2 linked regions of the Styela clava genome follow. The protein of the gene in region 2 purifies or fractionates together with the protein of the main gene of each other region. This does not show direct contact. Links are inferred from orthologs where the notes say so. Each region holds a gene or a part of one and is shown on either strand. Other genes may lie near its edges.

Region 1 (16,594 bases), on a different chromosome or scaffold from region 2:
ATTGGAATGGTAACCGGACGAGAGGCCGTGGTTCGCCATATGGATAAGCCGTCTTATCGGCTTTCCTCTCCCCCGGGATAAATATGTAAATCCTATCCTATCTGCAAAAATAAAAAATTAGTGTAGAAATGGCTGTGATAGACTAGGCTAAAATTCTTTACCGGTACTTTTAAAAAAGAGATTGTTGTATGCGATTAATCGTAATGATGTTTTGAATCACATACCCCATTTTACAGGCGCCAACTCGAAAAAACACTCTTAAAATAGCCCCGAAAATTTTGCAATGGTAAAGCATAGAAAGAAATTTTCCGGGACAAAGGTCGGGGAAAGGTTCATAATGTAACAAAACACATCACCCAAATTTGCTTTTTTTCTATTTTATTGAACAAGACATATTGCACGATTAAATCCAGTTGCCTTAAAGTTAACCGACATCGACATGATGGTAACGGTAAGTGTTGGTGGTGCTTGTTGAGGGTCGGAAAGCCAAGAAGATTACGGTATGAGAGAGAAGATCCCTGGACTCCTCCCCCACCCAATCCACTGTATTATCCACTTTATAGTAGGGAAGGAAACTTGAAAACAAATCCCAAACTTTTTATTGGATCACTTTGATGAACATCGCTTCCAAGGTTCATACCAGAGAGGCACTATTTTTGTTGATGTCGGAAATTTGAAATTTCATAACAATGGACAAATTTTATAAAAATATTCAATTTCGAATTTCCACCTAGTATATCATTATACAGCGTCTAATTACCGGTATGCATTTATCTGACTATTTACATTTACAGGTTTGTTAAATAAAATAGATCAGATATTTGAAACTTATATATCATTGCACATTGGAATGCTTCATGCCAAACCTGGTTTAAAAACATTTTATTATTATTTTACCTCTTTTAATTTGCCACATACTAAGTGTTCGGACCACATAAATATTGCAGCAAGAGACAGAATGTCGAGTTTTGCCCTTTTTCCCAATAGCGAATCAATATTGAAGGTTCACAATTCATTCTTATACTTTTAACTGGGAAAGTTATTGAGCTTTAAAGATTGTGGACTGTTCTGCTCAAGAGCACCCATTTGAACAATGATGAAAAATATAACTTCAATACTTTGGGTGACAATATTCATCAACAATCCTTTGCAATAGGACATTCTGTTCAACAGATATATAATCTTTTACACCATCTTGAACAGTTTTTATTGCATCAATATCTCCACCTGAACACGCCATCTGCAAATGAAATAAATGACTAAGGATTACTTTACTGAAAAGTAATATACAATTTTATACATAGCTAAAAAAATCACCTTTTATGTAAAAGTTTGGAAATCAAAAAGAAAATTTTCGCCATCTTGTTTATGAATTGCCAGGAGTCGGAATAAGAGTCTATTGAATCTATCTGGATTTGTTACTACAAACTATCAGGCAGTTTTGAAGATGATAATAGAGAAAAAAACAAAATAATAAATGAATCTGAATCGCACTCACCACAACTGACCGAAGAAAAATAAATAAATCTTCTCCAAGCAATGTGTCTAAAATATGTGATCCAGATGCCATGCTTTCCTCATCAGGCCATGTATACTGTTGGAATACTTCTGCATAATCTTTATTAATTGCTAGAGGGCGAGGTTGAAGTAACAATAGAAGTAAAAGTCTAGTTACTTCACATTTTTTATAGTAGTCATTGTAACATCCTGAAATGAGAGACAGAAATTTATATGAGAATATATACTAGAAAAATTTGAACTTACTTACTTGAATATAACATAGGCTTTTGCTGATAGAATTTATGGTAGCCCATTTACTCCTGTATATGATTTATAGGGTAAGTAAATAAAGGGGTTCTTCTCCCACTTGCCCCAAAAGTCCCTAAACCAAAATGGAGTAAGTCATCAAATAGGGTGTGGTCAGTGGTCACACAATTATGGTGACACAGTATGTTGTGATTAATGATTTCAATAAAATGAAACATCATTGAAACAGCATACCAAGAGGAGTAACTCGATCTAGATGATAGGCACCTTCTTTTTTGATTAATTTCATCATATCCATTGATGAATTCAAGGCAGAACGAAAATCACCTAAAAATGAATCAATGTTGCCTTTAGTCGACATTCTGAAATATGATATGTGCCCTCAAGAAACATGTTCCTGGAACTCTCCTTTTGTATTTTTTCATTCAGTTTCCTTTATGTGTTCCATTTATCTATCTTATAAAAATATAGTATCTTACGTATTAGTGTTTGACAAAACATAACTTTATCCATCGTGGATATAGCTTGAGATGGCAAACCAGAGAAGTACTCAACAGCTCTTTGATAATGCTGAATAGCTTGATCATATCTGTGAGTTTGCTGAAACGAAAAATAAAATTAGTAGGCTATGAAACATTCCAAAGAAAGCAAAATGTACGCTAAACTTACTTTGTAAAATTCAGCTTGTTCAAGGCATACACTCCCAGCCGCGACTGACATACCGTTTTCTTCATAAATCTAGTATGATAAAAAAAAATGACCAGTCATACAAATAATGAAGTATTAAAAGTGCAATATTACCAATATAACTTACTTTAATAGCCATATTGAAACAACCCATAGAGCATTCCAAATGTTCGTGAAAGTTTGGACAATTCATTTCATCTATTTCCTTGTCTGCTTTTAGAAAAAATCTAGCAGCTTCAATAAGTGAATCTACTTCACCAGATTGGTTGAGCAATCCTTGCTCACATCTGAAAGGTTTAGAAGTTAATGTCAACTATTGGATCTCAATAGAAAAACACAAATAGAGTCTAAAACTGAAAAGATCGCTAAAAATGATCATAGGTTGAAAACGGTTCACATTACTTGGCCCTAGCAATTGCTGTGAACCCAGCATAAGGAAAGCACTCGATCCTCGACAAATGATTTTTCAGCTGTTCAAATTCACTACTTGCTTCTGCAACATTCGGTTTTTTCAAGAATCTCCTATAACAAAACAAAAAAATACAATTAATGTTTGTCTATCCGATGCAACACAGAACCACTTGAAAGTAACTGATGCGACTATCAAAATATCCAAGATATGTCAAGAATTCAAGAATAAAAATTCATTGAGAAGCTCAAATATCACAAATTTTACAAATGTTCACACAAATGTTTTGTCTGCCAAAGTCAGAATTTCTCGGACAAGCATTTTATAATGAAAAAGTAATTGATAGCTGATTTTGCCAGTTAATATAATATTTATTATATTAGTATAAAAATGCATATCATCAAATGACTTAGTAATATTAGTACAATATGCTGTTATAATTTAGAAATAAAAGTAGATTGACAAATGACAACCAATATTTTGCCAGTTAATATAATATTTATTATATCAGTAGGCCTATAAAAAATGCATATCATCAAATGACTTAGTAATATTAGTACAATATGCTGTTATAATTTAGAAATAAAAGTAGATTGACAAATGACAACCAATATCTGAATATGGTATTGTTATTTTGTTTACATTTCAGTCATACCTGCTGGCAAAAGTACGGTAATACCATATTGGGGCCTACTTTTATATCTAAATTATAAAGTGGGTGAAAATCCTACTTCTTTAATTTGCTTGCTGCGGCTCTGTGAAAATTGAAAAAATCCACCTCCTCTCCCATTTTTCACACTTCAATGCAATGACTTATTACGATACGGTATCCTTGCACAATGTAAGCTTTGAAATTACGGTATATAATATACAGATAGTCTATATATGTTAAGATACAAAAGGATAGGATAGTATTTACATATTTATCCCGGGGGAGAGGAAAGCCGATAAGACGGCTTATCCATATGGCGAACCACGGCCTCTCGTCCGGTTATCATTCCAAGTCGGGTATGGGATTAGATTTACTGTATTGTTTGTTTTCGGAAGCATGGACTTGGTGGTGGAGGAAGCCGAGCTGAGTAATATAGGCCTAGTAATTCTAAACTGTCACAAAACAGCATTACTGAAATGGTGTGATACCGGTATGGTACAAATAAAAATATTCTTTTTCACTTGTGATGTATCTATTCTGATTTCTGCATAAACATCGAAGTTGAGAGAAAAGTTGTTTCCCTGACCCTTGACCCCAAAAAAATTCTCCCAGATTTTGCTATTGCAAAATTTTGGATGCCTATTTCGCGAGTGTTTTGGAAAAGCAGGCAAAGGAATGTTGATATCGCCGTGTTAAACAATAGCAAGACACTGCATCTCACCAATTCAGGTATAAGTACAAGAATTCCTGGGTCAATCCATAACAACAGAAATCGTTTTCTTGGCACTGTTTTTCTAAAACGTTTCAACGTCAAATCTGATTAGGGTTGGTGCACCATGATATTTCATTCACATACACCCGCCCTGCGCTCGAGTTGTTGATAAATCCTTGAGTGGACTCTCATTTTTACGGGTTAGTGCAACATCAAATTGATGTTTACAACTGACAATGTATTACAATTGCGTCGCTCGATCATGTTTGGTCAACTGATTGAACAATGTCAGAAAATACGATACTGCCCTGGTGGGCAGGCACTTGAGATACTTCTCATGTTTTAAACTTTTTTATGGGTTTTGCTTGCCCTCCAGAATTCTCCATTTTCAATTTATGTTTGTTATGGAGTTTCCGAAATAAACTATCTATCTATAATGCGAAAGGCTTGTTGTCACAGTCACGACGATCATGAGAATGAGAAATGAGAATATTCTTGTCTGATAGCTGTGCCTATCCAATTTCAAGTTTTCCACGTCCTAAGATACCTCCACAAAAGGCATAATAGTTGTCTACATACCAGCTGCTGCTTGTTTAGAGCCTTGTTCAGATTTCTCAGAAAAAAAAAGGCGAGACATATAGAACGAAAATGGTTTATAAAAATGGATGGAGGAGTCGTTAATATTGTACCATCCAATGCGCCATTCCTAATGCGACGTTGCATTGTACCCATTGCGCTTTCATTGTTAATAATACACCATTCCTAATGCAATAACGCGTTCTTCTCAATGCGCTTTTCCTAATAGCAGAAAAGTACTTCAATATTCTATGAAACGTGAATTGATTTTATTACCAAATATATCAGCAATGAAATTATACGTTCCATTCTTAAAGTTTGCATGATGTCACAGCACAACCAAGTGACAAAAACTTTTTTGCTGCTTTGCTGCGGGGAAGTTGTGAAGCTCTTTATCAGAAGATGGAACCGTTCTTATACAATAGCTGTATTCAATCCAGTCTTTTCAAATTACATAGTGGATATGGGTACCTGCTTGTTCAGAGTCTTATTCAAAGGGAATGTGTGAAATACCCCATTAAAAAAGTGGTGCTCCATATATATATATATATGGTGATTTAAATAACCAAACATTTATTGAAGTTTCACAAGAAAAAAAAAATCAAAGCACAGATGCACACCATTAGTTTCACCAGAACCATTTGGTTTTACTCCAAGCCTATTCGGGACCTAGGTGAAGTCGAATCACTGACTGCTTCATTCCCATATCGATAGTGTGGTACTGAGGTAGATATCAAAATATATTAGTCATCAAGGGTGTGATAATGGATTTTTTTTCATTCATAAACATTAGGTTCAGACAAGGATACGGTAATTTGAGTTGTTGGACACGTAGTGGACATAACGATCGTTTCAATATTATGTTGGTCTTGTTGTTGTTGTTGTTCTTTGACACTTTTTGGACATCTAGTGGAAAATCTAAAAAACCGCTTTTCTCTTCCATTACTGGACCGATTGCTTCGAATTTTTTACTGGTTAAAGATGAAATTTTTCTCCAGAAGGCTATTACTTTTAGTTATTTCAAATATTTCTTTTAGCTCTGTGAGATTTGTTTTTGTTTGCTATGACGTCACCGAACGTTCTGCGGACGGTACTGTACCGTACAGTATTGCAATAATGTTGGTTTTCTTTTCTGCGGGGACGTTACCGTACCGCCTTAGCGAAAGTTGGAAGTCCTACTGTACTGCTTCGCTTGGTGTGAATATATTTGCAGACTGTGATCTGACGGTACGGTAAACCGTACTGTACTGCGAACAGACGTGTCCATATATTTGGGCGTAGCTCTCTTGTTTTTTCATAGGATCACTTCGAATTTAACATGGAAGATTTGTCAGAATATTTGTGATTTTTTTTCATATTGATTTCATTTGATCATTGTTAAGCAGCCTGAAACACAACAACAATCTACGAGCAGATGTTTCAAAGATTGCTTATAAGGGAACATGGTGAACTATTGTTCACTTTAGAGACTAATGGATTTTTTCAAATTAATTTTAGAAGGTACTGGTTTTTTGATACTTTTTATTTTAGGTGGTGCGAACATGTTGGGAGCTGACTCTGATGACCGTATGGTCGTATCGCTCCCTCCAGCCCATACCGAAGAAACGTTATTCGTAGTGCTTTATATTTATTATTATTATCAATGTATTTATGTTTTTTCTGGTTGACAAATAATGGAGCTCTCTCCCTCTATTCGAAGAAAAAAGCGAATATATAATAGTGATAATGACGAAAAACGAGAACAACAATATAATATTCAAACGATCGTTATGTCCACTAACGTGTCCAACAAGAACAACAACATAATATTGAAACGATCGTTACGTCCACTAACGTGTCCAATTACCAAAAATATGAGAACGATCCAAAGGTCCACTCAAAGTGACTATAAACGGCTGGGGGATTCCCCACGTCAACTGAAAGTAGTTTGGGGGATTTTAAAAGTGACCTAGCCACCCACGCGGTATAAGAAGTGCTGCATGGTGCGCAAAGATAAAGAAAGCCAGGTACAGTACACCAAGTAAAGTTAAGTTGACACTGTACATTTATATAATAAAGATATTTGGCTATACCGGTAGGCGGTAACGTACCGTACCGGTACCAAAGCTCACAGGGTCTCGTGTAGTTTCGTACCTAATGTACGGTACGGTACTTCTAGTAGGCGTAGCATAACAATTTTTCGACATGCCAATCCTAACCTTCACCTGACTACGCCATTCAAAAATTGCGTCACAACACGTCATATCATAGCTTGCCAAATTCTCGTACGATCGCCCGAAATGGCATCGGCGCCGACGATAAAGAACTGACTAACGTCAGCGATCTCTCTCCTATCGGGATCGTTGCGACGAGAAAACGAGAGAAATGGCTTTTCGATTTCGGGTTCTCGTCTGCGCGTCTTGGATGACAGTTTGCATAGTTTGAAGGGCTCTATTACGTCACTGCAGCACTGTGGCGCCGTAGTGATGTAATTTTTGGATGGTGTGGTCAGGTGGGGGTTAGGATTGAGCTTGCCAAATATACGTACGATCACCCGAAATGGCATTGGCGCCGACGATAAAGAACTGACTGACAGTATCGATCTCTCTCCTATTGGAATCGTTGCGACGGGAAAACGAGAGAAATAACTGTTTGATTTCGGGTGCTCGTTTGCACGTCTTGGATGCCGGATGGCAGTTCGTATAGTTTGAAGGGCTCTATTACGTCACTGTGACTTCGTGTTGATGTAATTTTTGGATGGTGTAGTCAGGTGGGGGTTAGGATTGATACATGAAAAAATTGTCATGCTACGCCCACTAGAAGTATATTAGGTACGAAACTACATGAGACCCAACCATTGGATTGGAATTTTAACGAAAATAAAGAAGGAAATCAATGCTCGGGAAATAATTTATTTTGTAAAGTTTACCAAATTATACCATACAGCCATATTAATACAGTAATAAATGGGACTGAACCTGAACAGTGAAGAATAGTCTAGATTAATATTAATTAAAATATGATTTATTGTTGGAATTTGGTTGGAGTGAAATGCAAACACCTCAACCAAATAAGAAAGAGAGGGGTTGGTTAGGTGGATATTCTACCCTGTTTCGTTAATTTAGGGTCGGTTTCGATAATTAGGAACCATATATCAGTACGGTACCGATCTTAGCTATGAAATTTTAAATGTGATCACATGACCAATTTTTACAGTGTTTTATCCTTCATTGATATTTTAATTATGTCATTTATTGTTTCTGTATCTTACAAATATGAAATATCTAGTTACCTAATAACTGCAGAACTGTATTATTAGGCTTAAGATTTATCCGAAATTTCGAGACTACCTTACCGAAACAGTGCAATGTGCACTACCAATGCATTGGATATTAGGTTCATGTTGCACAAAGACAAGACTTCTAGACTAATGAAATTGCCTTTGAATATAAAAGTGTGTGATGTCAAATCTATGCTTTGTAAAGACTCTAATATCCCTTTCGAAGAGTGTGAAATTATTTTCTGTGGAAAGGCAATGCAAAATGATAAAACACTGAATGAATATACCCTTAGTTCTCAGACGACTCTGCATGTTGTCTCTTACCCTCGTATAAAAGATGAAGAATTGATATCAAGACAACAATATTATGTGGGTCGAAATTCATATTTGACAGGAATATGGCCACATCGTCAACATACTCATTTTCCTTTCATCAAGTTACAGAATTACCTGAATGAAGAAAAATTATGTTCAAAACATCCTCAATTTTATGTTTATTGCAAGCATACTTGCTTTAAAGTTACACCTGGGAAGCTGCGTGTTCAGTGTGCCAATTGTAAAGAGGACAGTATTATTCTACAATGTGAGCCTGAGCAATGGAGTGATGTCCTTCAGGCGGGAAAAATATTTGGCCAATGCTATTCTGAGGAATGTGGAGGTGATGTTTGTGATGCAGAATTCTACTTCAAATGCTCGGTTTGTCGGAGTCCGGCACCTTCTGAAACTGCTGTATCCTTACCAAATGTTATCAGCAACATTCAAGATGTTCTCTGTCTTACCTGCCTTGATTCATGTAATCCGGTCGTGACGTTTCCTTGTAGCCCTGAACATGTTATGTGTTTGCCATGTTTTGAAGAATATTCTCGAACAAAACTTCGTGATAGACAAATGATAGTTTGTGAAAATATAGGGTATTCTGTTACCTGCCCGATGGGGTGTGAAGGTTCATTTATGTGTGATACACACCTTTTTCACATACTTGGGGCTGATGAATACCAAATGTATCAAGCTTTTTCTGCGGAAGAATGCTTAATTCGTAAAATGAAGGGAATGATTTGCCCCAATCCTAAATGTGGAACTGGCTTGTTTCCAGATATACCTGCCATCTTTGAGAACAACACAAAAATTACCTGCTCAAATTGTGGGCATATGTTTTGTTCAAATTGTCGTGAATCATATCATGGAACCTCAGACTGTGAATCCCAGTTTCCTCTGTTGGCTGGAAGTAGTGTTATGGTAAGAGACTATTTCGAAAGCATAAAAACCATCAGGGAAATTTCGAAAAACTGTCCTAATTGCAAAGTTCCAACAGAAAGAAGTGGTGGTTGTATGCATATGACTTGTAAAATGTGTTTGTATGAATGGTGTTGGAATTGCCTTACACGATGGAATTATAATTGCCAAGCAGATCACTGGTTTAACTGATTTTCTATAAGTTGAGAATATATTGTCTTACTATGCTGGGCATTAGAAACAGTTTTGCTATCGCACTGTTGGATATTATTAAAAAGAAAAACATTTGTCATAGCTTTTCTGTTCTGTATTCATGAATTGAGTTCTGTAAAAGCTTCATAGCTTTTCTGTTCTGTATTCATGAATTGAAAAATCCGATATTGTGAAGAGAAGGACAGAGATACAAAATCAACTTAGCTACTGCTCTAATTGCAGTCTAAAATCATAATCTCATTAATAGAAAATGTTACAAATAGGGTCATTTTTAAGAAAGAACACATACAAGGCAATGTCCTTTCAATGAGTTTGAATTCAGAAATAAAGATATAGCATATGATTTGATGACTTAATTTAAAACAGTTTGCAAAAAATTCAGACCGTTTTGGTAATAATGTGATTTAAGAATTGGGAATCTATTTTTTATTCCAAGCTCGTCATCCCCCCTGCCAAGATATAGAATCCTATTTTATTCCAATATTTTCATATTCATCTCATCACTGTGAAATGGCCAAGCGTTTGGTATTTGTTTAATAATAAGTTTCACTACTGCCTGTGGCATTTGTATTATATAAACTAATTTCTGGTTTTAACTAGAAATTTAAATGTGCCTTTGCTATCCTATTAATGAATATATATGAATGTTGCTAATTTAGTGATTTGAATTGTGTTCTTTCTTTGTTCGTAATATATTGCTATTTTGTCAAATCATGCAAATACTTCAATAGTCAGGTAATGGCTGCGTTGTTCCGGAATTTGTTAACCGCGCCATTTACGTGTTCTACGACAGTCCACTGTAATGTTTTAAGCATTCTGCGGCGACACACTAGTGTTTCTGGTGAGTTAAGGTTTTTTTGTTTGCAGCAATACAGTCACATAAAAGCAGCTTGGTGTATGTAGTAGTTCTTGATGCTCTGTAATGGAGGATACTTCACTTCACATGTTGAAATTTATCTCAGACTTTATTTTATGTGGTAATTATTTTATTTCACATATACAAAGCAAGTGCATAATGAATAAACTTAAAATAAATCTCATCATAACACTGTTGAACAATGAAAACTGAGCAAATCCAAGTTCTGAACTTGGCTCGAGTTACAAAATTAGTTCATTGCTCTCACCAGCACCAACCATAAAAAGTTTATCCTGTTAATAAAGACAGCTCACCTAGTTCTCTATATATCAATGGGGAATCTATTCAAATTCATGAATGTGATTTCTCTGACTCATTTTGATCTATATATTTTTATAGGAAGAAAGAAATTTTTCAAAGAGGTAACAATATCATGTGATTCAGGTAAGATGAATTAAAAATAAAATTATAAGTCATGTTCATATATCTAATATCATTGTTAATTTTTGAAGATGGATATGATGTGAGCCTCGATAAAAGAAAACTGAAGTGTCCTTCAGGCATTGTACTGCGACTACCATGTGAACAACTGGCTCAAGCTGTTGCATTAGAATGGGATTCCCAGGGAGACGCACTGAAATACCACACGATGCCAATAGTTAGTAAATTAGTTCATATTGTGCTCGATGTCTATTTTTAATGTACATTTGGGTTTTGTAAAATGTATGTAAAAGTTTTAAACTACAAATAACATCAATTATGATATGAGTGAAGAAATTTTTCTAGTTGTTTCACTTCCAGATCAAAATAGTATGCTGGTTTGTGATGGTAGTCCATGGTAAAGCTAGTACCCGTATGATAGGTCTCTTATGTAAACCCTAATGTTCTTACATATTGCTATGATGTATTATTCGTCTTTGGATCTCTATAAAGTATCACGGTAGGTCTGTAGTTAACAGCACACAAGAAGAGTTTTCAGTTTTAACTTCTTTTCAACAGACCAATTTATGTTTTTATGCGATGGATAAGCCAAATGGTGAAGATAAAGCAACTTTGGTTGACATTTGTCTAAATTTCTTGCGAACTGATACAGTATTGTGAGTGATAATTTCATTTTTGAATTTAGTATTGGTTTGGGTCATAAATTTGATTTCTGAATAAACATATATTTTTCAAGATTTCATTCTGACGAGCCTCCTGGTTTAGGAGATCATCAAGTTAAAGAGTGGGGTAAAATTATTGACTGGGCACGACAGAAATACAATGTTGAACTCAACTACACATCAGGGTTTACTTCCCCACATTTGCCTGAAGAAACAATAAATACGTTTGCAAAATACCTCTCATCTTATAATTTTTGGGCTGTAACAGGTGAGTTTGTTTGCATTATTTTTTGGCATTGTAAATTATGTTTTTAATAATGCAGGTGTATGTTCTACAGGATTTGAAAGGCTCATCAGCACACTGAAATCCCTTTTGCTATCTATTGCATTGGTTGAACGCAGTATAACAGTTGAAGAAGCCGTGAGTTTATCTCGATTGGAACAGGAATATCAGGTGGACTATTTATATCAGTTTTCCTCTCATGTGAACAGTTAAACTTCGCAATTTAAGAACAAGAAAATATTTATAAATTTTTAACGTTGTATAATGTAGGTGGTAGGGTGGTTCACATACCGGTAACCTCTGGACGGTTACGGCTTCCTCTGCCATCAAGTCCATGCTTCCGAAAACAAATAACTGACTAATCCCATACCCGACATGGAATGGTAAATGGACGAGAGGCCGTGGTTCACCATACGGTTAAGCCGTGTTATCGGTTTTCCTCTCCCCGGGGAATAAATATGTAAATCCTATCCTATGTATCTGCATATTCGATCATGATGCTCGTATTGGATTGGTTGAAGAAATAAATGAATAGAGTGATGATATGTTCAAGCCAGCATGTTTACTATTTAAGACTATTATTAACACTATACCTGCAGGAATTGTTCTTAAGATCTGCCATCTGTAGATACATTTGGCAGAAATCTTGTAGGGCAGCGGTTACCAAACCTTTTGTTCGTGCGGCGCCAAATTATCAGGGAAACTCCTGCGTACTTGCACGGAAACAAGAAAATAAAACTCAATTTTGTGATCGATAATGTGTACTTTATGCCTTTTAAAGTTTGTAAACATGTATTACTTAGGAATAAGGGCAAATGTTCGCCAAAATCGGTTCAGCAGATACACAAACTGCAGCTCGCAAAATTGCAGCAAGTACGGTAGTAACTTTCTCTATTGTTACGTAAGAATATAGGCAGAAACTATAACAGGAGATAAACGTCATAGAACGGTAAAAGTAATTTATTGATTCATATACACAGCGTTTAAAATAAGAAACGATAAAATGTAGGGGAAATTAAGTTTCATGAATAAACTTTCTTTATTAAGTTGGTTGAACTTAGGAACCATTGAAAAATCGAATTTTCAGACGGACCACGTCTCATGTAACTACTATGCACTAGCATCTACACCTTTTTATGAGAGGTTTAACCGATCTGAAAAAAGCTTAGTGCAACTGTAATTTCTGTAAAGTCCAAATTCGTGTACTATTGTATACGGGATATTTATGTGCAAGGATTGCTAGATTCATCGCCGTCATAATGTGATTCACGTAATCACTGGTCGATCTTGGGATGGCTTTCCCCAACTAATATGGACTGGTAAGTGGTAACCGGATCGGCTGTCGTCTTTTCTCGCCACCAGGATAAATATATAAATCTTGTCCCATATATATTTCAGATTTCACAATGGGGAAATGTAGAATGGCATCACGATATTGATCTTCTTGAGAGTAGAAAGTCTGCTGCCGCCTGTGCGATTTTCATACACGCCTGTTCAGAGGACAGCAGATATATAAATCTGCAAAACCTTGCCTAATAGAATGAAAAGAACAACATCGATAAGTGTTTGTCATGTCGAAAATAGAGAGCAGTGCAAATTTTGAGTGGAATTGCATGGTTTTGTGTGGAATTGTTATCTCTTAAGTGGGAACAGGTCTTTTGTGACAGATTTGGTGAGCAGATATCGAGAACGACCTCCTTATGGCGGAGTCCAATTGTGCAAATGATTGTGACTTAATCTGTTCATGGTCAGATTTGCAAAGATTAAATAAATGAAACAAATTTCGAACAGTTCATAACATAATTTCTAACGAATAAATAGTTTGATAATTTTATGGTTCAGTGTAAATCACGAGGAGTATATGTTAACCTCGCGGGGGCCATGGTGGGGTGGGTGTCGATTATGATTGTGAAATACAAACCATTTTGGAACACTGGAATACTTTTCCCTGTGCTTATTTTACAGATAATATAATGAACTGTATTCATCTGAGCTTTTAGGAACTTGGGAATCAAAAATGAAAAACTCAGTTGGCTGTGAGTCTCTCACTCGTTTACTTTTAGTGCACCTGCCACACACAAACAAGTTTTTATTTTCAAAGTTTTTTTTTCAAGAATATCGGTAGTTTTTAATTCTTCGAGTGTCAGCAGCTCTTGGCGCGTTAGTAGTCGCCAGTGACTTTGCTCAGAGACCAAAATCCTTTATTTCCGAGTGAGTGCGTGTGGTATTGCTTTGAGCAAATACCTTCCATAAAAGAATATAAATTATTTAAAAAAAATAAAAGTCCGTATGAACACAATACCCAAAACGGCGCTTGACATGCCTGCTTAGTTGAAAATTGAGGTTTGATTTGAACTCAACGCGTGTTTCAAGAATTTTTTTTGCGTCATACAAACTTTTTTTTTAACTACGTCAAAATTTCACATCACATTTTTGTTTGGCGTTATTTGAACAATTACGGCGTTCATTTCACATTTTTGTTAGGCATTATCCAAGCAGTCGCGGCGCTTTTTCTACAAGACCCAAGCATTTTATTGCCGCTACGGTACTTTTTAATAAATAGTACGGTGCTTTCAAAAATCAGATTGTTTGTTGAATGCTATGAATCAGAATGATTCTTTGAAACAAATAGCCCATTTTACAGTCGCCAACTCGCGAAACAATTCTTGAAACAGGAGAGCTAGGCTCAAATATATGGACACGTAACAAGGTGACATAAAAAACGAAGCTTTTGAAGTCCCCAGAAATTTTTAAAATAAATAAAAGTAATACTGTAGTCTTCTGGCGAAAAAAATCGATCCGCTATTTTTATTCTGACACATGAAAATCGATCCGCTATTTTTGTTCTGACACATGAAAAACGAAGCTCTTGAAGTCCACAGAAATTTTTGAGATAAGTAAAGTAGTCTTCTTGCGAAAAAATCAATCTCAACCACTGAAAACTTCAAAGCAATTGGTCCAGTATTAGTCCAGAGTAAGGCGATTTTTTAATGATAATAACTACCGGTACCCTTAAAAAAGTTCCGAATTTCCAGTAGCAAGAATTTTGCAGAATCAAAACGTACAGCCAGTTATCACGCGGACAAATTTCATAGAATTCATACAAAATTTAGAACTGAAAAAAAGTAATAGCCCTCTGGAGAATAATTCCATCTTCAACCACTAAAAAGTTCAAAGCAATTGGTCCAGTAATCGAAGAGAAGTTGTTTCAACCAAATCCTAACAGTTACTTACTTTTTTCGTTTTTTCTGTATTTGTATTGAGGTGGTGCTCCATAGTAATTGTTATTGATGGGAAAGGCTAACTGATCTTGGATAGTTAACTCTACGATTCGTTTTACCCGTCAACTGACATCTCGCCAACAAATAATCTTTATAAAGTATAATTTCATCAAAAAATGATTAGTTTATCGAAAATTCATCTCTCGAGGCGTTTAATTTAAAAGAATATCACTAACTGTATTGACGAGGACCCTTTATATACGAAATATCATTGATCATTGAAGTACCAATATTGCTGATAATGAAAATTTGACAATAATAAATTTAAATAGTTTTGGGCCAGAATATATTGTTCACGATTTTATTGCAAAAGTGTCATACAACAAGTACGCAGTTGATGATGACTGTTTTTCTTTCTGAGTGAGTGAGAAAAGCGTCGGGGCGGATGCGAAAAGGGAGCATTGTTACGTCCCTTTAGCATCTTGCTGATTGGCCAATGTCACGAAGTGAACAAGGAAGTCGATGGTCGGTGAAAGGTCTATTGCTTTGGTGTGTTAGTCGTTGATTGTGATGTACAAGTTAAAATTATAACTTATTACGTCAGGCTGAGGTTAACCGGTTTATCTTATCCAGTTAACGGTTAAAGTCTTTTTCCTGAAATTCCCATAATATAATAAGCGCAATGAGAACTTTGAGTAATTTTTGAGAAAATAAATTACATAAAAAGTTGAAAGAACTGTGTCTTAAGCTCACAAAGCATTGTACTTTTTCGTAACCGTGGTAATTTTTATGCAGAAGATGTCACATTATGTGAAAAATAAACATTGTAAGCCGACACGCGGTGGCACTATAGTGCGAAATGTCCAATGTGTTTGCAGTGTTTTGGGGTAGTGAAGTCACATTCCCATTCTGCTGGGTTATATCTGTATATTACACAGTTTAGAACTGTTTTAAGCCAATTAATTATTTTTTTTTGTCTAGAATTTATCGTGGAAAAGATTAAATAACTTTACACAGGATGACGCGACGCTAAGTGTTTGAATGTAACCGTGGAGGAAATTACGTGATTGTTACGACAAGGAAACGAGAGAGACTATGTATTTTTTGGTGTGATCTAACTCGCTAGATTTCGGGTCATCGCCTGCAGGTTTTGGACGACCATGCGTCATCCAGTTATTACATCACTGTGAAGTCGTAGTGATGTAGTTTTTGGGTGAAGTACTCATGTGACATAGGGTGGCTTACCCACTTTGCGGCCATGACCTATCTGCGACCATCAACTTCATCGATTGAATTAATGCCGAAAAAATTAACGAACCGCGACGATATTTATCACGCGTTATCGTCCACTTATCCCTCGTAGCTCTGCGAAATTGCACTAAAATGCGGCCACAAATAAAAAGTTACGACCGAAAACCTGACCCAAAAAAAAGGGACCATTTTACCATGTCGCCAACTACTCATTGTTCCTTTAAAAAAGCTTGAAAATCCATACAAATATAAGAGATAATGAGATGAAACTTGGCAGGTGGGTAGAGTTGTGTTTCTTTTAACCATCTTTAAAGTTTCGCGTTTCTACATTCAAAGTAGGGGGGTGCGCATTTCCAATTCGTCAATAATATC
Region 2 (16,394 bases):
TTTATTTTTGCTGTTTAGTTGATATGGATACTTAGCATGGTTTATTGTGAAATTTCCAACTCTTATAACTAAAAATTAAGCAGGCCTTTGATCTAAATTGTATGATTCGAATAAATCTTAAATGAATGATGAAAATTTACTCCGGGTACAATTACATAATCAAGTTAATGAAACATAAAAATTACAAATTTTTGTGGCGATTTCGTTAAAAATGCGCCCTCAGAGCCGAGCCTATTGGCACCGGTGGAATTTTATGTATGTGCGTGTGCAGTTATCTGCATATTCAGCCATCATTTGCTTTTGTGTATATGACCTTATTAACGATCAGTCGTTCGCGATCTATTTTCAAGATTTTAGTCGATCGCGGTTCAAAGCAAGTTGGCCAGCGCTGATATAAGCCATCAGAAGTGACAAACAGAAAAGGAAAAACAACTTGGTGAAAGTAAAGTTTAAATTTGTATACGTTCTCAATGGACAAAGCGGATTCCAAAAGTGCAGGAAAGCCTCCTCTTATACTTAACATATCAAAATTCATTTCAAATGTTTTTCCGTAATCAAACAGTTCTCTTGCTTGTTTAATCGTTTCTTGGTATGAGTTTGCTTCAAGACATTCATTAGCAACATGAAAGCTGAATTAAAGATATCATTCAAAATGTTTATTCTATAACATTATTTTGCATAAGTATTGCAGATTTTTTCATATCCATTGCTAATTTATCATTAAAGGGTCAATCAAAAACCAGAAACCGGATTTCAGGAACCACAAAATATAGGCATATGTAGCATCCTACAAATTATATCGAAATTACTATTGAATTCCTGAGGGCCTATCGACGTATTATCTGTTAATGTTCAAATGCTAGCTATTTTTATATTTCTGCACAATTTTGCATTTACATCAATGTGAATTTAAATCTAAGTATAATTACAGTCTTTGAGCTATACAATGTATTCAACATAAATTTCAACAGTTATTTGTAAAACCAACCTTGAAATGAAACAGCGTACAAACTAGTAGTTAAATATTATTTATTCGGTTTTCAGCTACGCTAATTAAAATATATTTACGCGATTCGTTCTGCCATGATTTTACCTATATGTCCTTTTTCATTCTATCCTGCTGCGTATGTTTTAAATTCTAAATGTTTGATTACGTCGTTACTTGATTGTGATTTTTATGAAAACCTTTATAATAATAATTAAATAATTTCCGTTCAATTAAAATTGTATACAGATTAATACAAAAGCTAAAAATGGGAATCATACTCTGAATCTGGGAAATGTTTCTTGATTTTGTGAAATTCTAGTTCACTGTCGAATTCCAACATTTTTACTCCATTATCTCTTGCATGGATAATATAGGAGACTGGTTTTGACGGAATGGCAAAAATGATGGAATCCGGAGTTGATTCATACCAAATCAATTTCTTCCTTATTAAAAAAAAAATGGAAATAATATAGTTAATACAATCCAGGAAGTCATACTTTCTCTGTTTTCTTATCGTTAGATGGAAAAATGCCATCGCTAATTAGACTTTGCAATCACAAGAATGCAAGTCTCTTATTAAAATTTTTACGGGGCTCGGATTCTGCGTTTCACGTGGTTATACTAACCTATATATATGCACTTGTGCTAACATACGGCTATATAGTTATTATAAACCGAATAAATCTCTTTACACTAGCAGATTTGCCTTAGTGTGTTATGAATATTTTACAGAGCATGTGTAACAATGACCAGCAAGCAGTAAGTCAACATTGGCGTAACAATTGAAATTTGTTCATTCGCTCAGACACTTCTTTTGCTCAGACAGATATTCAAGTACGAGTGTAAAATTGCCTCGTTTTCGCAGTTTTGCGTGTTATTTGTCAGTTTTCAGTTGTTTTTTCAAAAATTGGTTGTAAATTGGATGACTTACTTGGCAGTATGTCTTCAAAAAGCTTTAGTTTAGTCGCAATATTCAAAAATTATTTACGAAGAAGCTGCAGGAGACTAGGCTTAAAAGTATCTATTAGTAGCTGTAAGCGGCACATGGTTAAATATTTTTATAAACAAAATGATTGTTTCGAACATGTGAAACAGTTTGTAAGCGCCAACTCTTTAAACCAGTATCAAAAATGCCGCTATGGACCTTTCCCCGAGCATCGTCTTCCTTGTTTACCTCGTGACATTGGCCAATCAGCAAGATGCAAAAAGTGACGTAACAATGCTCCCTTTTCGCATCCGCTCAGACGCTTTTCTCACTCAGACAGATGGTCAAGCGTGGTCGTAAACAATACCTCGTTTTCGCGTTTTCGAACTCTATTCGTTAGTTTTCTGTTGTGTTTCGGAAACCTAAATATAAATCATGTAATTCAATGATCACTCTGTCTTCCTATGAGTTTTTGGACACGTAGTGGACATAACGATCGTTTCAAAATTTTGTTGTTATTGGACAAATAGTCTAGTGGACATAGCGATCGTTTTAATATTATGTTGTTGTTGTTTTTATTGTTGTTCTTAGAGTCCTTGTTCTTTGACACGCTTTGAAGAAATCGCTTTTCTCTTCGAATACTGGACCAATTGCTTTGAAATTTTTAGTGGTTGAAGATGAAAATTTTCCCCAGAAGGCTATTACTTTTATTCATTTTAAATATTCTTGTAAGCTCTGTGAGATTTGTTTTTGTTTGCTATGACGTCATTAAACGTTCTGTGGACATCGGACGCCATTTTGTGTCCTACTGTACTGCTTCGCTTGGTGTGAATAATTTGTAGACTGTGATCTGACGGTACGGTAAACCGTACTGTACTGCGAACGACGTGTCCGCATATTTGGGCGTAGCTCTCTTGTTATTGTACACGTAGTGGACATAACGATCGTTTCAATATTATGTTGGTCTTGTTGTTGTTGTTGTTCTTTGACACTTTTTGGACATCTAGTGGAAAATCTAAAAAACCGCTTTTCTCTTTCATTACTGGACCTATTGCTTCGAAATTTTTACTGGTTAAAGATGAAATTATTCTCCAGGAGGCTATTACTTTTATTTATTTCAAATATTTCTGTTAGCTCTGTGAGATTTGTTTTTGTTTGCTATGACGTCACCGAACGTTCTGTGGACGCATAGCCGACACTCCTCTTCTTTTTGATCACGTGCCATCGAACGTCGATGGTTCGTAACGAAGTCCTTACGGTACTTTGCTACGATTTTTTCCTTACGCTGTCTTACTACGTTACCAGTACTGTACCGTACAGTATTGCAATAATGTTGGTTTTCTTTTCTGCAGGGACGTTACCGTACCGCCTTAGCGAAAGTTGGAAGTCTTACTGTACTGCTTCGCTTGGTGTGAATATATTTTTAGACTTTATCTGACGGTACGGTAAACCGTACTGTACTGCGAACAGACGTGTTCATATATTTGGGTGTAGTTCTCTTGTTGTTATTATTTTCATTATTTGTCTCCATCATTTTTAAAAAAATCGCTTTTCTCTTCGAATACTGGACCAATGGCTTTGAAATTTGCAGTGGTTGAAGATAAAATTTTTCCCCAGAAGGCTATTACTTTTATTCATTTTAAATACTTCTGTTAGCTCTGTGAGCTTTGTTTTTGTTTGCTATGACGTCATTAAACGTTCTGCAGACATCGGACGCCATTTTGTGTCCTACTGTACTGCTTCGCTTGGTGTGAATATATTTTAGACTGTGATCTGACGGTACGGTAAGCCGTACTGTACTGCGAACAGACGTGTCCATATATTTGGGCGTAGCTCTCTTGTAATTTAATTTCAATAATAAAAAATTTGTGTAAAAATAGCTGTGATAGGCTAGGCTAAAATTCTTTGTAGTGATATTGCATATTTTATGTTGATTTGATTCAGTGCCTGAGTTCATGACCTTTCATGTAGTTTTTTTTTTATCTTTCTTTGGCCTACCCCTAGTGTATACAATGTATTTTGTTTTTTTGGTTCATGAAGGATACGATAGGATTTACATATTTATCCCGGGGGAGAGGAAAGCCGATAAGACGGCTTATCCATATGGCGAACCACGGCCTCTCGTCCGGTTACCATTCCAAGTCGGGTATGGGATTAGTTATAAGTAAACACAGTACTCTGAAATATCGAGTTTATTCTGGATAATATTCTACACTCCGGTATAGAAATCAAGGGTAGAAAAATTATTACATTCTTTACCGGTACTTTTAAAAAACATGTTGTTGTATGCGATGATTCATATTGATGGTTTGAAGCACACACCGGTACTTCATTTTACATGCGCCAACTCGCAAAAGCACTCTTAAAATAGTCCCGAAAATTTTACAATAGTAAAGCAATGACATTAAACAACATGATAGGCAACTCTGACGTCACTCCATAAGACTACAGGCGAAAGATTGTATTTCATGATACGCTCCAATGCACATATTTCTCGTCGACTTTCGCGTCCGTTTTCCGCTCGCTTTTGCTACTCGGCGTCTTTTTTACGTGTAGTACCTGTCTTTTTGCGTCTGTAACGAAACAAAATAATCTCTATATCTAAGAAGTTTTGCTCACTTGGAAAGCTGGAATGGCAGGCAAGCTGTAAAGAGCAATTCTGGACATCATAGACGTTTTTTTTTATCAGAGAAGATTACAAACGCGATAGCGGAAAGATTTGTGTGGAACATTTTGCAGATAATGACACAAAGTTCAAAGTTAGTAATTTTAATGTTTGCGCTTAATCATTGAAGTTTCATTTAAAGAGGGTGTCATACAAAACTGTGCTGTGATACAATTCCATAACACAAAGTTTGCACCTATCGAACTTGCTTTTGTAGGTGAATTTATTAGACATATTACATATTCAGTTAATCGTAGGTAACATTGCTGGTACATAATGCATCGTAGATAGGTTTGTTTAAATTTAGGAATTTAGCTCATAGCCCACTAATTAATATTATTTTCTATGCGGTAGGTTGCAGGGCTGAATTCAACTTGCAGCCTTACCGACCACCTGACGATGCTCATTTAGTTTGGCTCGAGCAAGTCTTCTTGAAATGCTTGTGTGGATGGAAACTACCTATATTATTTGCCTTCCTCCGATTTTAGACAAATTTATTATGAGTGATTTTGCATATAATTCTCATTGATGGTTGGCTGTTTATAATTCCTATTGATTGTGAATTCTGATTATACCAAAGAGTTAAAAATTTTTTTATCTAATTTACTGGTACCTTTTCTTGTCAATACTCCAAGTTGAGGTAATAAACAAGACAATACATTTATGTCATCTGGAAGCAAAATATGCACACTAATTAATAGTTTGGCACATTGAGATAATACATCATGACAGAAAATACAAGTTAAAGATAGGTATGACCATCACATGGTAATTAAAATTAAAAAAAATTAATAGGGGCTGTGGAGTATGAAAAGTTCAAGACAAAGAAAAGAACAAATGTTCATAGCTCATGAACTCTCAATTTTGCCTCCATTGCTTTGTGAAGGCCAATATATTTCGAGTGGCTGAATTGGTTTGCTAGCAACGATTTTGTATTTAATATAGCGAGATGATTTTATAGTACCAACTCTAACTAACGAGGCCACATGATCATGGGTTAATCTGGATCTTTGCGAATGTTTAATTAATTCCAGTAATGCAAAAAAGTTACTTTTATCATTTCATGTATAGATCAGTAAAAAAACAAATGACAGATTTTTTCGACAAGACATTTCGCACCACATTGCGTGGCATAGGATTGCTTGAATTATTATTGATATTGATTTTTAGTAACTAAGTCGTTGTATAAATATATTAATATACAAACACATGGAAATTTTCTGTTCGAAGTTGGTCTTCGAATTTGTCATATTGACTGCTGAGCTTATTGTGTTTTTTCATTTTATTGATGGAAATATGACAAATTAAACAATGTGCTTCAGAATTTTGCGAAAAGCAGAAAAGTTACAACTCCCATTTTCTTCGAAAATGCCACCTTCTTCATGTACTTTGCGTTTAATTTGATCACTCAAGTGTTTATTCAAGTATTCTTTTGCAAGCTTGATGTGTATTCTTAATTGGGTCAAAATGTGGACAAAAAAAAATCATATTCCAAAACTACTTTCAGTAAATTGTTTTCTGTGTGAATAATCAATTTCACTTTAAAAGGTTTGAAAAATCTATTACATTTAGATAAAAAAAAAAATACTATTACAATTATTGTTAAGCGTTCGAGGGCCGCACTCGAAGTTCTCTGGGGCCGCGAGTTTGAGATCTCTGGTCTAGATTGAAGTTGTCCAAAAATATATATGATAGTATTTTATCATGAATGATGATTATACCCCTTCCGGAATTTCTTCTATCGTACTACCAAAAGTTGATGAACCAAATATAACACAGGTGCAGTGAGTTACCCGTAATCCTCATTTTCCAAAGCTGTTTTAAGTGTCTGGCGTGTTTTGTGCCTTTTTACAAATAAGACCGAGTATGTAATTTTACGCTTTGCAATTTTTAGTTATTTTCCTCAAGCCCTGCAGGATGTAGGGGTCATACACAACTTTACCGGAGGGTCAAGTGTCTTTGCATGTCACTGATATGTCGCCAGACTTCTGATATCTCCCCTTCTGCTATAGTTGTCCTGTGAATAAATAATAGGAAATTGTGATTAGACGAATAGTTGAAAGTTTTGCTTTATGTCGGCTTAATTTCTTGATTGATATACTTACTATTTCTGCTATTGCCTCTTGTGCTGCAGGAGTCTCACAATGCTTAGACAGGTTTGTCCACAACTTTCACATCTGAAGAAAGAGAGGAGATTTATTAATTTTCGTTAAGAATAAATAAAGCAGTCTATATGATTTAGAATGGAAAAGCTAATGAATCCAATATCTCATGTTTTATGTAAAAAATATTTTACTGAATTTGGTCAATAAAACAAACTAATAAAAGGGTTTAGTCAGAAAATTACAAGCATTCGTGGCTCCAAATATTTGAGAGATCAGACTATACAATATAGACCGGTATGAGTGAAATGTTAGGTGGACTTGTTAACACTTTGATTCAATACGCAAATAAAAGTGAATGCGCAATAGTATGTTACAATGAGCAGCAATCAACAATGAGTATATATCCTCACTGATTAAAAAAATCAAACTGGAGGTGCATGAACTATTTGAAACCATAAGGGGTAAGTAAATATGTAATTTCGGCAAATGGGCAACCACGTACCGTACTGAATTAATAACTTCGTAGTATTTGACAAAGGCTGACTTTCCCACATGTACTTAACAGTGCGATGCCCGGGTGTGATATACAACAATAGTATTTACCTTACCTTTTTCCGATTTCTTTTTACCTTAACTTTCCAAAATATCATTAAAATCGACAACAACTGTCAAAGCAGGCACGAACACCATTCGTGCTACGCCTTGAAAGCAGCACACATCCGCTCGTTTTCGTCTCGTCAAGTATGTGCATTGGAGCGTGCTATCGAATACGATCTTCGGACAAAAATGCCGGAGTTGCGCATCATGTTGTTTAATGTCATTGAGTAAAGTATAGGAAGATTTTTTCGGGGTCAAAGGTCGGGGAATAGGACTCTTGAAATACTCAGATTAACCAAAACAGCATTAGCATGCTTCAGCTTTCATGGATTTCATAGCCGCTTGTGTTTTGTGACTGTTTTAGCCTATATATCTGTATATAGGCCATTGTTGTAGCATTTAAATTTGAAATCACCAAAATCAGTTGCTTATTGAGGCATTATGTTGAAGTCTGGGTTTGGCGGCGGAGGTGATGCGTCTTCACCATTAAAATTATTCACTAATGCCAAGAAGAAAATAAATGGGATTTATCGAGACATAGGAAATTATGTCAGTGAATTCCATACTTTTGTAGAAGAAATTAAGGATGTTGAAGAGAATGAACTTGTGCATCAGGTAAGTTTTCCAACTGGTTCTTATATTGAGTACATACCGGTACAGACATAGGTTTAGTTAACTCAGTTTACGATCATCTCAGTCCTTTGAAATATCCCCACCAAGAGCATAGAGACGAACACTGAACATGGTTTGAAGTATATTACCCTGACTGCATTCCTAGATGCATCTCATTAGCCCTCTTACAATCTTATTGCTTTTAATTTAGTTTTTGCGATTTTTCACAGGAATTGGTAGATCATATTCAAACATGCGCTCAAAAAGTAAATGGAATAAAAGAGATGTTACTCCGAGATCATATGAAGGTATTTATTCAAGGATAAATTATGTGATTTGTCTAACATTATCTATTCTCATGAAGCTGTGAAATGAAACAACAAGATATTATACATATTCATACTCTTGTATGTCATATCATAACTTCAATTATAAGTCAATTACTGTTCTCATTCCAAGCATGGTTGCTAATTTTTGTGTAAAAGGTAAAAGCCTGACTTTTTTGTATATTTTATTTAAATATAATTATAGGTGGTTTTCTTCGGAAGAACTAGCAATGGAAAAAGCACTGTAATAAATGCTATGCTGTGGGATAAAATATTGCCGAGTGGACTTGGTCATACGACCAATTGCTTCTTATCAATAGAAGGATGTGATGACAAAGATGGACCATATTTACTTTGTGATGGATCAGAGGAGAAGCGTAATGTTAAAAGCGTATCACAATTAGGACATGCACTCAGTCAGGAAAGCATGTCTAATGACAGTTTGATTAAGGTTTGTTTATGATTTATGAAATTAAATATTTCTGTTTTTATCAAACGTCCTTCTAATGTTATACTTCCTACTATATCGCTGTTATTTATTTCATATTCCAGGTATGCTGGCCCAAAAATAAATGTTCGTTATTGAAAAATGAAGTTGTTTTGGTTGACAGTCCTGGTATTGACGTAACTGAAGATATGGATAGTTGGATCGATGCGTAAGCAATTTTTCCATTGTATTGTGTACTAAACATTAATTAATTAAACACAATCTGTAAACTTGTGAATTAGTTATTATCCAAAGACACAGTATCTTTACTCATCTTTTCTATTTTTTTCCTGATGACTCTTCTACAACAAATGCAATGCAATTCATTTTACAGTTGTAAATGTTATGTAGTCAGTGATATTGATACTTTTTTTAATGTCTGAAATGTCCTACTTAACATTTTTCTTATAGTTACTGCCTTGATGCAGATGTTTTCATTCTTGTTGCAAATGCTGAATCAACTTTGATGTTGGCTGAGAAAAAATTCTTTCATAAAGTAAACGAACGTCTATCGAAGCCTAATATATTTATACTCAACAATAGATGGGATGCATCAGCTGCTGAACCTGACCTTATGGAACAGGTAGGACTTGATCGAAGTTATATTAGTTTTCCATCTTGTTTACGGTTCAGGTAACATTTGATATGTTCAAAATTATCTATAATTTGAGCTTCTATTTTGAGCTGAGCAATTCGGAATGTCTGTAAATATGTCAAACACCTAATTCATCAGAGTAAATGTAGTATTCACTATTTCATTCATAACCTCATATTTGTGATCTAGTGATTTGTGTAGTTGCAAAAGGTTAAAAATCTCAGATTCAACCTCCATCACTGATACCTCACCAAGGATTTATTAAATTAGGTAGGCAAGACCAACTGAAAAGATTCTAGCCCCAAAAGTAGTAGCTACTTATTTTTTATCATCTAATTCTTTCTAAAGCCTTTTTTGAGGTGAAGGTGTGAAAACAGCAAAATAGTTAGTAGCCTATATTTGTAAGTGTGTACATAATTATCATGTGTAACAAGCTTTCTGCTCTATGGGTGACAAAATGCTAATTTAACACTTTTTTCCACGGCCATAGGGATTCAAAAACCCAGGAGTGATATGAATTGTTTTGAAAAGCATAGATTTTAAATAAATTCTGTCTATGATTTATTCCATCTTATGAATGCTTGGAAAACTGATTTGAAAAAGATTCTCCACCTTGCCCTACCTGACCAGAAATGATATGTTGAATATTTATTAAAAACATGATGACAACTATTCTGTTTATATAAGTCATATTTTACCTCACTTCTGAACAATTCTCTGTACTAGCAGTCACTTATGCAAAAGTATATTGCTTTTTGAAAGGACAGGGGTCTTTCTTGTTTGTCTTTGCCTACACCCAATTTGAAGCAGTGCATAACCTGTAATGACAATATTGTTTAATCTGATGCTCTAACCATGGGCAATTACACTTCCCTAATATGGACAAAAAATGTCATAGGAATTGATAGGCGTAAAATTTGAAATCAGCAATTTAGAAAGATGTTAATTCTGAAGTTTGTATGCAATTTATATAGGTGAGACAACAACATCTGGAACGTGGAATATCATTTTTGGCAAAAGAACTAGGTGTTGTTACCCCACAGCAAGCTAAAGATAGAGTTTTCTTTATTTCTGCAAAAGAAGCCCTTAATGCTAGATTGCAACGCTTACAAGGTTTTTAATTTTTTCTATGTAATATAGGATGATGTTTAAATGAATCATACATGATATGTCAGAATTGAGCATAATTTCATTTAATAAAGCATAGCTATGTATGTCTGATGATTCTGTTAAAATTTGATGCTGTAATTTTATTAGACCCACTATAATGAGATTTTCATTGCAGGGTCCCATCGAAATCATTAAAATGTTTCAAGTAAATTTGCCAATAAACAATCTGGCAAAATGAAAGGTTCTGGTTAATACAATTAACATGGTGCTCAGAATCGAAAATTTCTTTTAAGAAAGTTAGATGATATTATTTCAGGAATGCCAGAAGCTGGTGGTGCGCTAGCTGAAGGATTTCAAGCAAGATTGATTGAATTCTGCACATTTGAACATAGTTTTGAGGAATGTATATCGAGATCTGCAACAAGAACAAAATTTCACCAACATACTCAATGTGCTCAAGATATAATGAAAAGTCTTCTGACAGAATGTGAGAGTTTACTGGTAAGTTTTGAAATAATATTCTGAATGACTAGCTCAATGCCAAACTGCTTGTTTGCCTCTGCTGTGTGTTTCTGTTGTAAACAATATTAGAATTTGATACAAATGGAATATTCAATAATTTATTCCGTTCTCTCTATAATACTCGATTGGATTGGGGATTTACATATTTATCCTGGGAAAGGGAGGAAAGGCGATAAGGCGGCTTAATTGTATTCTGAACCACGACCTCTCGTCCGGTTGCCAGTCCATGTCGGGTATGGGATTAGTCAGCCAGTTAGTTAATTGTTTTCAGAAGCATGGACTTGATTGTATACTCACATTATATTTTCAGAAAGAATCATCCAGAATGAAACAGGAATGTGATGAATACAATGAACAACTGGAAAACCAAATAACATTTTTAGGTATATGATGAATGTTTATTAATATATTTACTTAACAATTGTAAAATATCACAGACAGTTTTTTGTTTTAGTTGATCTCATTGATAATAACTACCGTACATTGTGAATACAAGCTTATAGGATTCTTCAAGCTGATATAGAAATAATTTATCATTTGCTCATTCACTTGGAATGAGATTCGCCAGACCTGCTGTGATTTAAAGTTTTTAGTTTTGTGGGTTTATTTATGGGTTCCAACCATCATTATTCCAAAAGCTCCCTTTTTCAAATGACAGTTTTGAGCTTTCAGTGAGCAACAGAGGTGTGTTGTTTTGTCTCTGTGAGACTGTGACTCTTTTATTCGAAATGTTCGAGTACATAAAATTGGCCAAGCAAATATGCAGATTTTGTTCAAAAAAATCATGTTAAGCTAACGAAAATCCTTAGATATTTTTCATTACTTTTTTCAGAGAAGCGATTAAAGTTACTCACTGCACAAGCTAAAGAAGCGATTACACGATTGGTCAGCGAAACAGAATTTCAAGTTCGTCAAGCAATGTCTGATGAAATAAGAAGATTGTCATTACTTGTTGATGAGTTTGATCAACCATTCCATCAGAATATGATGGTTCTACAAGTTTATAAAGCGGAATTGTATCGACATGTTGAGGAAGGTAGAAATCTAAAAAGTTTACGTTATACCAGTGGTTCTCAACCTTTTACTGACTGCATACCACTTTGTATTTTTTACCCATGTACTACCAACAAAGCCCCCTTTTGGGGTGGGGAACAATGGCCCAAGGATCCCCCTATTTTATGTATCACTACATCCATTTTTGGCCTTTCAGGCAAAGTTTCAGCGTATCAATTATATGCAGTAACAACGTATTTTGGCGTGCAGAATCGCGAGAGAATTTGCGTCGTCTACCGTCAGAGCTGGAAGGCTTTAATCTTCGCCACCACTGAATTACCTATTCTTTAAATAAATTACACGTACCACAGGTCGTAAAATAACTAAACAGAAACAGAATTTTTATGCACTGTGAAGGAGGAATAAATAGATTCAAAATAGGCAAAGGATGGAGTATTTCGAAAATGATTAAGAACCACTGCCTTTATTATACTATTTGGTAGATTTCCATTTTAGTTTGATTTTTAATTTTTTTTTTTTCAGTTCTTGGAAGAAATCTATCGGCAAGATGTTCATCTTCTTTGCAAAAACAAATAAACAAAAGTAAACAATTGATGTTGGATGAAGCTCAACCATTATTTGAATGCAGTAATAATAGTGAACAAGGTAATTTTTTCAAATCTCATCATAATACAATTCATATTAAAAACTTTCTGAACTATCTCTGTTTCTATTGGCCAAAGCACGCCCATACACAATTGAGTCAAAAGTCTATATAATATAATGTCAAAAATTAATTTGCTTTTGCGATTTATAAACTATGCAACATTATGTCATTCTTATTCTTCAGAACCGGTTTTGGTATCTCAAGCACAGAATTCAGCTTTTGATATGTCATATGATATCAATTGTGCAAGTTTGTGTCAAGATTTTCAGGAAGATATAGAGTTCAAATTTTCTCTTGGTTTCAAATGTCTGATGGGAAGGTAGATTTATTTTTATTCAGCCTTTTGTTGAAATTATTTTCCTATTCATATCCTTAAATATTCTGCATTGTTTCATAAAAACTGCTTTAATGATGGCCACAACTTGATCAGCTTTTCTTTAATAATTGAATACTATTACTTTTCATATTAGTTTTCCTACTAATATTTAGAAAAAAAATTTTTGGATATGTTAAAAAAATTTTATAGTCTATAGCAGTCCGTCGGAACATTTCGTTTCAGTTATTCATTTGTTTGATTTTGCAAATAGCTTTTAGTTAATAGTAATTGATCTTACACTGTCATTTATTCAACACCTGACAATACTCCATACATGGAACTCCGGGTGTTTACTATTGAATGAATATTCAAACAAAGAGGGCTTCTTGCAGGTTGAACTTGTTTCCATTATTATTTTTTGCAATATTTCTCGATACTCATTGTGTTTTCTTATTGTAACCACCATGAATCCCTTTTGTTCAACAGATTTATTGGTTCACGAAAAGCAATAGCTCCTTCAGAAGTTCCAAGACCAATATCTGGAACAGGTAAATTAAATAAAAGTTTATGTTCTTCATGTACAATATGTTTGTTTTAAGCTTCAGGATTTGACTATAGATAAACGGAATACTGCTTTATAATGGGTTCTTATATTTGCCGAATATATTTGCTGTTGTTTCCTATGGCCAAAAGTTCTCTACTTGAACAAATCGGTAGTCAAACACCAATCCGGAACGAATTATGTTCGATCACTGAAGTATCACCGTATTTTAATTAATTTCATTTTAGGAGAGGTCATTGCTCACCAGCGACAACAAGCAGATGATAGTTTATCTTTGCAAGACATTTTGACATCAGTCGCTGCAAGTTATTTGAAGCATAATAATAGTCAATCAGCTGGAATGCTCGTAGGAATCAGTAAGTATCAATAAGTTTTTTTTTTTTAAAAAGAAATATTTCTGTAGCAAATTTGACCTATTACTATTTTCAGCAAAACCTCTTGTTTAAGTTGTGAAGTGAGACTCAAAATATTCATTCCATTATTATCAAGTTTAATGATATTATTCATGTAATCCAAACAATCCCCGATAGGAAAGGATTTTGAAACTCTCGACATCTAGATTGACGTTTATGAATATACTTGAATGTAATTTTTGTATTATTTGTTTCAGTAATGGTTCCCTATGCTTTGTGGAGAACTATTGGATGGAAAGCTATTGTATTTACTGTTGCATCATATGGATCACTGTATTTGTATGAAAGATTAACATGGACTTCCAGGGCACAAGAACATGCGTTAAAACGTCAATTTGTTGAACATGCGACTGAAAAACTCAACTTAATCACAACCTTTACAAGTTCGAATTGTTCACATCAGGTAAGCCTGAGTTTTTACATAGACATGATGGTTTTTAATAATATGATGCAGAAAGGAAGATTTGAACTGAAATCTGTATTGAATCAACCCACTTTTCAGATTCTTAATCTGTAATTTGCCAATTCACACAGGCTCTTAAACTTCATGAGACGCACTTCCCTTTAGCGACCCTACAAGTTTCTCGCAAGTATACAAGAAATATACATATTTGTATATTTGTTTCAGGTGCAACAAGAACTTTCAACCACTTTCGCACAAATCTGCCACAAAGTTGATGAGATTTCCAAAGAATTGAAATCAGATTCCGAGGAAATGCAAGATAAAAGTAGTCGCCTCTCTGAGATTCAATCAAAAATCAAGACCCTTAAAAACAAGGCTAATTTCTTATCTGGAGACATTGACTCATTTGTGAAAAAGTTTTTGCATGATTATGCTGTTTAATTATTCATGTTTAAGAATATAATTTTTAAGGTGTTCGTTATTTATAAGTGCAGTTTTTCTTGATAATTGAGATTCAGAGTCGAGCTGTATAGATGTAGAATGATAGTTCTGAACTCGCCGTATCTTCGGGATCTATCACGATTGAAATCAATATAAGTTGCAAAACTGCTCTTCTATCTTCGTCTTATATGATATGACCTGTGTCTATGTAGTAAAGCTCTGTGTGATGCCGTTTCGAAAAAGGTTATAGCCTACCCCAGATCTGAGCTACCCAGCTGGCGGTCAGAATTCGGACCTTTCCCATATTTAGTTGGGACCAGCATCTGCTGCTTGTGTTTGCGAGCGTCGTTGTAATGAGATGCACATTCTGCTGATCACGAACGAAAAAATTGCATCGAGCATCGACTTGTAAGTTTCATTGGCAGATCAGAAAAATTTCAGCGGCGCTGAGATGCATGTTTCAACTAGACTAGACAGACATTCGGTCATGGTGGTAAACGTTAGCCTGTTTCCGTGGCTTTGCATGCTATATGTCTATTTTTCAATTTAGGCTTAAAATCTACCTAAAATCATCCTATAGTTTAGCACTGAGCAAAATCGGATTTTTCAAATTCTTCACATATTAAGTTACGACTGTTGTCGCGACGAAGCGCACAGAGCAGAAAGATCTGCGTATCCCTGGCCGTTAGCGGTCACATCCGACGCACATCGTAACAGGTAACCGACAAACCCTTGACACCTCGAAGAAGGATTTCCATCACCATATTGGAAATGATTATCGAGGGAGGACATCGTTGACGGATTCCTCTACCAGATGGAGTAGAGGACTTGTCGCCATGGATAGTTCGAATGGTGAACACGTTATCCAAGTAAATGTCAGTAATAGGGATGTAAGTTTCAAAATTTCGAATCAAGGTCAATTCGAAGCAATTTTAGAAAATAAAGCGTGATTCTATTTAAAAAATAGTATAGCATTCGAATGACTCAGAGGCGTTGTTACAACATCGATTAAGTGGTTTTGCTCAATTTTTTTTTACTACCAGAAATTTTCAGATTTTTCAACTAACATGTTGCTATTATATAGCAAATGATATCGATTTATTAACACATTATTGCTTTACTCCTTATCAAACTTGAAATTGCGATGGCTCCTTCAACCTAGGCTTGCACGTAATTTACGGAATTATTTCGAGTTACGGAAGGGAAGTTACGAATTACGTAAAGTCGTAATTATTAGTCGCGCGCTATCGCGATTGAAACGAGCCCTCTTCAAAGAAGTCATTTCTGTCGATTGTAAAAAATGAAAGTTTGATAAGTAGAAGTTAGAGTTCCCGTATTCGCAGCCGTTTTTCTCCCTTTCCTTCCACGATATGGATATGGTATCTTTTTTATTCGGCGCGAAACGAAACGAATTTTACTGCCGTTATGGACGCTCAGAAGGAGGGAAGGGGACTTTCCTTTCCCGACTCAATCACTTTTATTAATACAAATCACAGCGTATTGAAAAGCAAAATAGAATTTATTAGCATTCATTTACAACGAATTACGGGTAAGAATTTATCGACGGCTATCGCTAACGGGTAGCAACGATAATTGTGAAAAAAAAACATTTCTTTGGCTTTTTGCATCATATTTTTCAATTCCTAATTTTGCATAACGCGTGTCAA

The links.
Region 1: the proteins of mitofusin-2-like (region 2) and E3 ubiquitin-protein ligase parkin-like purify together in Drosophila melanogaster (affinity purification with western blotting; 3 studies listed by BioGRID). This does not show direct contact. The link is inferred for Styela clava from reciprocal best matches to the Drosophila melanogaster genes Marf and park.

Annotation. Positions count from the first base shown.
Region 1 is NC_135263.1:16,297,732-16,314,325, reverse strand, and holds E3 ubiquitin-protein ligase parkin-like, read left to right. Parts: upstream 1-7,746; 5' UTR 7,747-8,149; coding exon 8,150-9,487; 3' UTR 9,488-10,246; coding exon of another isoform or gene 10,247-10,349; 3' UTR 10,350-10,350; downstream 10,351-16,594. Other genes in the region: 40-kDa huntingtin-associated protein-like, read right to left, coding at 1,112-1,240, 1,499-1,707, 2,002-2,094, 2,247-2,367, 2,437-2,505, 2,582-2,741, 2,857-2,976, 3,595-3,653; ATP synthase mitochondrial F1 complex assembly factor 2-like, read left to right, coding at 10,247-10,349, 10,764-10,808, 10,877-11,022, 11,364-11,461, 11,542-11,735, 11,806-11,921, 13,149-13,286. UniProt on the Drosophila melanogaster protein: E3 ubiquitin-protein ligase which accepts ubiquitin from E2 ubiquitin-conjugating enzymes in the form of a thioester and then directly transfers the ubiquitin to targeted substrates, such as Paris, Marf, Opa1, Miro, pnut, Septin1, Tom20 and porin.
Region 2 is NC_135255.1:2,485,334-2,501,727, reverse strand, and holds mitofusin-2-like, read left to right. Parts: upstream 1-7,549; 5' UTR 7,550-7,721; coding exon 7,722-7,895; intron 7,896-8,122; coding exon 8,123-8,200; intron 8,201-8,423; coding exon 8,424-8,669; intron 8,670-8,770; coding exon 8,771-8,874; intron 8,875-9,116; coding exon 9,117-9,288; intron 9,289-10,274; coding exon 10,275-10,413; intron 10,414-10,711; coding exon 10,712-10,911; intron 10,912-11,242; coding exon 11,243-11,315; intron 11,316-11,764; coding exon 11,765-11,968; intron 11,969-12,468; coding exon 12,469-12,591; intron 12,592-12,775; coding exon 12,776-12,911; intron 12,912-13,394; coding exon 13,395-13,456; intron 13,457-13,697; coding exon 13,698-13,826; intron 13,827-14,080; coding exon 14,081-14,286; intron 14,287-14,511; coding exon 14,512-14,727; 3' UTR 14,728-14,774; downstream 14,775-16,394. UniProt on the Drosophila melanogaster protein: Mitochondrial outer membrane GTPase that mediates mitochondrial clustering and fusion.